2 linked regions of the Arabidopsis thaliana genome follow. The protein of the gene in region 1 interacts with the protein of each later gene in a pairwise test. Each region holds a gene or a part of one and is shown in the gene's direction. Other genes may lie near its edges.

Region 1 (3,922 bases):
TTGTCGTCCTCCGTAAGATACGGCAGAAGTTCGAGCATCTTTTGTTCAAGTCCGGCTGGAACATTGACGACAGAACGATCTAAAACCGTTGGTAGAATTTTCGGTATGGTGCCATGTTTACAAGTGTGAGCCCATGCTTTGTTAAATTTTTCAGCCGTTTTGCCGTCCAAGACGACATGGTGGGCTGTGGTTCCAATGCAGAAGCCTTGTTTCGGGAACAAAGTGACTTGCAGAGATACAACAGCCCCCGAGTCAGAATAAATCGGTAGCTCGGGTATTAGAGGGCGTAACTCTAGCTCTGGACGAAGCCCTCTGCCAGAGATACGTGAGAAATCCGCATCAGTCTCAGCCACTGTGAGAGAGAGTGTGTCTCCTGAGAGAACAACTAAATGCGGCTTTGGATCTTGTGAATCCCACTTAAGGTGACCCGTGAATAGGCGAAAGTGAGTGAGGATGAGTGAAAGAGATCGCTCGAGCTTGGGGAGGATGGAGGAGTAGAAAACGTCGCGAGATGATGATGATTCGGTGAGTTTGTAAAAGAAGACTTGCTCGGTAGGGTTGAGTTTAAGCCACTGTAAATCAAAGAACGAGAGTGGGACAATGAGCGGGTCGACGGAGGCGGTTGCAGGGCTGACTCGGGAGATCTTGATCACCTTTAACGCCATTTCTCACTTGTACTCTCGTCTTTTAGATAATATTCCTTTGTACGTATGAGTTTATTCAGCTGAGTATCAGATGGAGTTAACTCTTATACTAACATAACAAGCTACCGAGTCAGCCCTAGTCAAAAACGTTGGTTGGAAGCCAAGGCACGTAATTACCATTTGAATTATTTTGGTCCCTCCAGAGGCGGCCAGGCGGCTTAAGCCAACTGCGACTGCCAGATATCATAGATAAAAATTGTTATATATATATATATATATATATATATATAAAATATATAATTTTATTTTTGTGGTTTATATTTATTATTTTTGGTGGTAAAAACATTCTTAGAAGATAAATTTTTGTAGATAAAAGGCTGAAAAATAAATTTATGGAAAATATATAAATAAACATTTGTGAGCAAAATGTGTCTACATAAAATTGTAATTTTCTCGAGTTAAAAAAAAGCAAAAAGTGAAATTTCCAAAAGCCTTAAACTAGTTTGAGTAATTTAAAAGTGTCCATAGTTTTTTCTTTTTTCTTTTTATTCCATAATTTCTTGAGTTTTTCAGAAATTACTATAATTCTGTTTAAATTTTCAGGATTTCCTGAATATTCATGATGTTTAGTTGTCACTTAAGTTTTCATAGAACACAAGTCGGTTATGCTTTTACCTAATCTTTGTCTCTTGTTAATTTCTAAAGCAGATAAAATCTATAAACCAACAACAATGTTTTAGAAGAAGACATAACATTTATTTTGGCAACTCAAGTTATTTGATCAAAGAAGTTAATAATTAGTTTTTAAAATAAATTAAATATAAAAAAATAGGGGCCAAAAGAATCAGTTAAAAGGATGTTGTATCATTCATATACATAGGGGCCAAGGCAAACACAAGCTCACTATCACAAAGAAACTGGTATCCATAACCCAAAATTTGTGGGCCAAAAATATTGAATTCCAATCTCAAAAAAGCCCATAAAATCCCATCTTTTTTCCCTCTCTAGTCGTCGTTACACGTAAAAAAAATGATTTTTAATAATCCGGTAATGCGTTAAAAAAGATATATCGATGAAAATTTCCTTTTCTTTGTAAGTTGTAACAATTGTTTTTAATAATAATAATTCTGATGCCATAAAATCGCGAGGTAGAGATGAAAAAAAAATAGCTTCTTCAACAAAGGCCGATAACAGTGAACCCTTCGTCGGAGCTCAGATCACGAGCCGCCGTCACCAGCTAAGAGGCAGTGACTTTTGAGTAAGTGAGGCGAAGATGGTTAAAGGAGAAAAGAGATCCGAGATGATGCTTAATCTGTTCGGAGATAATTCCGAGGAAGAAGAGATCGAATCCGAACATGAATGCAATCGTCGTCAGCCTAACTACGCTTCCGTAACTCTCTCCATCTTTATCTCCTTCGTTTCGTCACTATTGATTGTTTCAGTTTTCGTATTTTTCACTGCCACTGTTCTTCAATTACACCTTGGAATACGAATGGTTTCTGGAGTTCTTCTCGCTTGAATTTAGGGTTTTAGGTTAATTGCAGGAACCAATGCAACTTATTAGGCCTAATTCAGCTTCAGTTCTTCTTAATATCAACTAGACTAAGATATCAGTGAAATTGTGGCTGAAATTTCCAATGTAAACACTGATAGGATGAGGCTGAGGGCGGGGTGGAGCCTGAAGGAGAAGGTGAAGCTGAGGTTGAAGTTCACGGAGAAGCTGAAGCTGAGTCTGACGGGGAACAGGGAGATGTAGAACTTGATCCTGGAGAAAGTGAGGGTGAGAGGGAGCAAAGTTCACAGGAGGCTGATCCACAAGAGGAAAGTGAAGCAAGAGATAGTGATAGTGATAACAAAGAAGAAGAACATGGGGGTAGAGTAGCCAAAAAGAGGAGACAGGAGGTTGTTGAGAGCGGATCAGAGAGGTCTGGTGAAAAGCATTATGAGTCTGAAGATGAAGAGGTTGATCAGACTAGGAGTCCAAGGTACCCCTTTTTCCATTCTTTTTTTTCCTAGCTGTTTCATAGCTTCTTTTTGATCTTTTCTGTGCTCTGGATTTAATAATACTTGCTAGTCCTCTGAGGTTCCTTGGATTTTCAAATTTCTTATGGATCACTTTGTCTTTTGTACATGGAAATATGGCGTGGTGGGTAGATCACCTAGTGAGGAGAAGGAAGAGGTTCAAGTTGCACAGTCAGACGTAAATATTCGTAATGTTTTCGGATCTTCGGATGATGAAGACGCAGAAGAATATGTTCGGAATGACGTTGAGCAGGATGAACATGTGAGTCTTGCATCTAATATTACATTTCAGTTTACAGAATATCTGTTTCCTTTCCAGTGTTTGCTTCCTTTTAGAAACCATATGAAATTGCATGTATGTATGATGAGATGTCTAATTTTGTAGAGATCGCCAATCGAAGATGAAGAGGGCTCTGAGAAGGATCTGAGACCCGATGATATGGTGCTTGATGATATAATCCCTGAAGAAGATCCTCAATACGAGTCAGAAGCTGAACATGTTGAAGCTAGGTACAGGGAGAGGCCAGTTGGTCCCCCTTTGGAAGTGGAGGTTCCTTTCCGCCCTCCTCCAGGTGACCCCGTTAAGGTATACCTGCTTTATGTTGCTAAAAGATTATTCGCTGACATGGCTTCAAATCAATAGTTTCCTTTCTGGTATTTCCAAGTTACCAAAATCTCTCATATCATTGTGGTTCGAAGAGTGAGTATCTGATGTCTTTTATGTGGAGAACCATTGCACTGAAACATGCTTCTACATTTACTTAGCATGAAGGGCCATTTGGTGTACATGAGCGTGCTATTCTGTTTTATATCTGAAACCCCATTTTCTAGTTGTCTATCTGTAGTGAAGATGTTCTGTAGCAAAATTGCGCTTCCTCATATACCGTTTTCTCTTTGATCTTTTTCAGATGAACATGATAAAAGTTTCCAATATCATGGGGATTGATCCAAAGCCTTTTGATGCCAAAACATTCGTTGAAGAAGACACATTCATGACAGATGAACCCGGAGCAAAGAATCGTATCCGTTTGGACAATAATATTGTTCGCCATAGGTTTGTTAAGAGTCGAGATGGCAAAACATATGTAAGTGAACACTTCTTCAAAGCTTTTCTGCTTTTAAATTTTCCATCAAACCTGCAATGAAGCTATGTAGTTTGCCTATTACTAGTACTTCTGATGCAATGATGTATTATAAGTACATACTTTTGATGCAATTTATGTATTCCGAATTAGTTTACTTTGTGCTTTTCACTA
Region 2 (3,922 bases), on another chromosome or scaffold:
TAAGCTGTAGAGGTACAAAACAAGCAATTATTAGCTGAATAGGAGTTTAATTGCATCAACTTTTTTGGAGTAACTTTTCATCCTCATGATTCCCTTTCTTAAGTTCAAAAAATGTAAGAATGAAACAAGATGTGCTAAAAGAAATCTACACAACCTCTTCAGGAATCTCTTTTGCCAACTGCTCCAACACACTTCCCAGAACTTTCAGGGTGGCAAAAACTCTTTTCCTTTTTACTGTTTTCCGTTCCAGCCTGGAAGCCAATATCAAACCGTATGGACAACAATTAAGCTATCTGAGTTATGTTTGGCGTTCAAGAACATAAAATTCACAGATTAAGTGCAAAGGGAAAAGTAATAAGCGCATAGTTTATATACATACTCGTCAGTGAAAGCCCCCGACTCACGGAGCTGTTTCTCTTCCTCCTTCAACGTGTCAACATTGTTCTTTTCTCTGTATAGCCTGTAAAATTCTTGTAGTCGAAGAATATCCTGACTTCTGTCTATGGTCCCAACCTCTCTTTTTGCTAATTTTTGCTACAATTAACAAGTGATAACAAAGCATTTGAATGCAAAACCATGGGCAAAAATCACATAAATAAAATTCAATGAAGCTGATCGTATAATTTACAAGCAACGCATTTCAGTTTCCGAAAAACAGATTCGGAATTCAAAAGTATCTGCCACACATTGATCATCTATTATATATATCAACGACATCACAGGATTCATGCAGCTTCCAATGGCATAAATAACATATTCAATGAAGTGGTCGGTAACAAACATATGGATGACTGTATCTAACATACATAAGAGAAAAATACCTTAATAACAGACATCAATCCAGTTTTGAACTGTAAAACACCTCTGCCTTCACTATTAGGATCGAGATTTTGTGCAAGTGAGTAACCATGCTCACATACTGCAGTAAAACAATTGTCAAGAAGATCACAACAGTGTCATTGCACAGAGAAAAGAAAAGCTAAACCCGCTAAGGAACAAAACCCAAGTAAGAAGAGCTTACAGATTCTTGCAATGTTGGGATCCTCATCCTGAATCTCATCGGCAGCTCTAAGAATTGCATCGATGTCCCTATTGTTGGATAGTGAGGAAGGGACATAACCAACAATACTGCTTTGATTACCACCAGCAACTCCTCCTGTTCTATCTCTCCGTAAAGCAGCATTCACCAGCCTCTCCCAAGATGACTCAGCTCGAGACATTTTCTACAAACAAAAAACATCAAAGTACTCAGCAGCTTAAACTAACGTAAAACCCAACACTAAGTAAATGAAATGTAATCAAATCCAGGAAGATACACGTGAATTATACAGATTCGGACAAGTGACCTAGGCACAACTGAAAAAAGCAAAATAAGTTGTAAACGTTGTTCTTTAACCTAGGACTAGTTGTAATCAACGAAACAAAACTAAAAAAAAAAATAGAGAAAAATTTAGGGATCCTGAATCTGAGCTTCTCGCGTCTCAAGTTCATACGATTGAAACAAGTAGACAACAAAGACATTAAAAATGGATAAAACCCCCCAAAAAAAACAAAAGCGGGAGTTACCTAATCAGACGTCAGAAACCTCAGATATGGAGTCGAAGCAGAATTGGATCAGTCATAGAAGAGAATTAGCCAAGAATTTAGCGAAGAAAGCTTAGAAGCTAGCTCGCTTATGTCCGTCTTTCTAAGTTTCAAAACTTTTTCGTTTTTTAGGGATTTTTTGTTTATTTTAATCTAAAACATTACAAAGAAAGGAATCTGGATGTTTTTTATCAAGAAAAAAAATGAATCTGACAAACAAAAATTTAACCGCGTGTTGACAAAACAAAAAAAAAGAAATGAAAAGCTTAGCCGCGTTGTCAAAGAAAAATCGAACCGAAACGTCTTTTGAATCGCCGGATTAACTCTGGTTAACAGTCAAACCGGTTATCGTTTTTTTTGTTCTGAACGCATAATCCTGATTCTCGACCCGACCCGACCCGTTACTTTGATTGGATGTTAATTTCCCGAATACTCTCTCGCAACGTAGATCCTGGTGAAGCCAAAGGCATCGTGAGCAAAATCCGCAGTTTTCTACATTAATGGATTGTTTCTGTTCTAGAGCTTCTCTTCCGTCTCTGTGATTTCTGGGTAGATTCTAGGATTTCTATTTGCATCTCTAACCTGAGAGCTGCTAATAGTCCACACAACTTTTTAGTTTGTGAGTTTTCCTAATTTAGGGTTAGGACAAATTTCTGTATTTTTCATCCAAGGGGATAAAGATGTATGCTGATAAATTGGAGGCTGAGTCTGGAAGCAGGAAGGTCGTTAAGGATCGTATCAATGGCGGTTCTGGAGACATCTCTACTCGCGTGCGACAAGTGACTGGGAAGAGGTTCTTATCTATCTCCCTCTCTCCGTCATAATTCTATTGAGATATATCTTGCTTTCCTCGAAAATTCTTCAGTATGTTAGCTGGTACTTGGTGTTAGAGTCTTTTCCTCTTGTGTATAATCTTCCTTGTAGCATCCCCAAGTTTGATTCTTGCTTCGCTCTATGAATTAGAGTATGGAATCCGCTCTTTTTGTTAGCTTACTAGGACTCTCTGATTTGCCCATTTTGAATTGGTAATTTCAATCAACTTCACTGCATTGTCAATTAGATCAGCTTTATGAGCTTCTCTAGTTTGAGTGCCTACCTGCATAGTTAAATCTGGAGATGTGATCTATCTGATGATGTTTTTGTTGATGGTTGGTGATTTGATTAGGGTTTTAAGGCAATTTAATTGAATCTTTTGGGTGATGAACTTTTTTTGCTTTTGCGTTGGGGAATGGTTTATATTCCTCTCGTTATGTAGTCTTCATTGTTAATTACATATCAGTTTATCTCAAGTTTCTCCTTCCTCATGCTTTCAGGCAAAGGCAGGACGACAAATGGGAGCATGATCTTTTCAGTAGTGACAAACCTCAACTTTCAAGTATGTTTTTCCCCCTCATCTATTCTTTCAGTAGAAAATTAAGTATGACAAAAGTATTTCTGTTTGGTTGTTGATTCTCTATCGGATGGCTTATTTAGATCGCAGGGTTGATCCTAGAGATCTTCGTTTGAAGCTCCAAAAGAGACATCATGGGTCTCAAAGTGGGCGAGAAGCTGGTTCAGGCGTGCGGGATTTACGGGATCAGCTCTCTGGGACAATGAATCAGCAACCAAAAAACAGTGACCCACCAAAATCCAAAGCGGAGGCTGCTAGGCCAAGTATGAAGAGCGTAGCGACTGAAACAGAGACTAGAAAAACTTCCAGTCAAGCTACCAGGAAGAAATCACAGCAGGCAATATGATTCACTTTTCTTCAACTATATTTTTCCATCAGTACTTTATTGCTTGGGAGAAACCATTCTTCTGACCGGTGCGAAAATGTAGTTAGACACATAGCTTACGATGTCTCTTCCCTTGTATACAGGCCATCCACTAATGTTTCTTTGCTTGTCATCTTCTGGTTCAGGCTGATTCATCGGTTGATAGCTTTCTTGAATCATTGGGTCTCGAGAAATATTCAACAGCGTTTCAAGTGGAAGAAGTATGTAATATCTTCTATTAGGTTGAAATTTATGTTATGTTATGGATGATGCATATATAACGTTCCTATCCTTTTCGGTCATTCACAGGTTGATATGGATGCTCTCATGCATATGACAGATGATGACCTCAAGGCTATGCTCATACCGATGGTAAGCTTCATGTTGAGTTGCCACACAACATCTAGTATCACTCTTATCATATCTTGCAGATTTTGAATGAATTTCAATTTCTCAGTTTTGTTTGATCTGTTGTAACGCGAAAAACTACATCCACTCTCTTCGTTCAACATTATTACGCTCTCTTTTCACAAGCTATGTTTTCGTTGCAGGGTCCGAGGAAGAAGATACTTCTTGCTTTGGGA

The links.
Region 2: the proteins of VIP4 (region 1) and AT3G07170 interact in a two-hybrid assay, tested with the Arabidopsis thaliana proteins (one large-scale study listed by BioGRID).

What each region holds. Positions count from the first base shown.
Region 1 is NC_003076.8:24,605,524-24,609,445, reverse strand, and holds the start of VIP4 (leo1-like family protein), read left to right. Parts: upstream 1-1,720; 5' UTR 1,721-1,917; coding exon 1,918-2,034; intron 2,035-2,297; coding exon 2,298-2,629; intron 2,630-2,798; coding exon 2,799-2,928; intron 2,929-3,051; coding exon 3,052-3,252; intron 3,253-3,574; coding exon 3,575-3,751; intron 3,752-3,922. Other genes in the region: AACT1 (anthocyanin 5-aromatic acyltransferase 1), read right to left, coding at 1-665. UniProt on the Arabidopsis thaliana protein: Component of the PAF1 complex (PAF1C) which is involved in histone modifications such as methylation on histone H3 'Lys-4' (H3K4me3). Involved in regulation of flowering time. Required for the expression of the flowering repressor and MADS box gene FLC.
Region 2 is NC_003074.8:2,278,164-2,282,085, forward strand, and holds the start of AT3G07170 (Sterile alpha motif (SAM) domain-containing protein), read left to right. Parts: upstream 1-2,030; 5' UTR 2,031-2,264; coding exon 2,265-2,377; intron 2,378-2,384; exon of another isoform or gene 2,385-2,550; coding exon of another isoform or gene 2,551-2,609; intron 2,610-2,897; coding exon 2,898-2,959; intron 2,960-3,057; coding exon 3,058-3,311; intron 3,312-3,484; coding exon 3,485-3,559; intron 3,560-3,647; coding exon 3,648-3,710; exon of another isoform or gene 3,711-3,889; coding exon 3,890-3,922. Other genes in the region: GSL10 (glucan synthase-like 10), read right to left, coding at 1-4, 155-251, 380-534, 822-919, 1,022-1,220.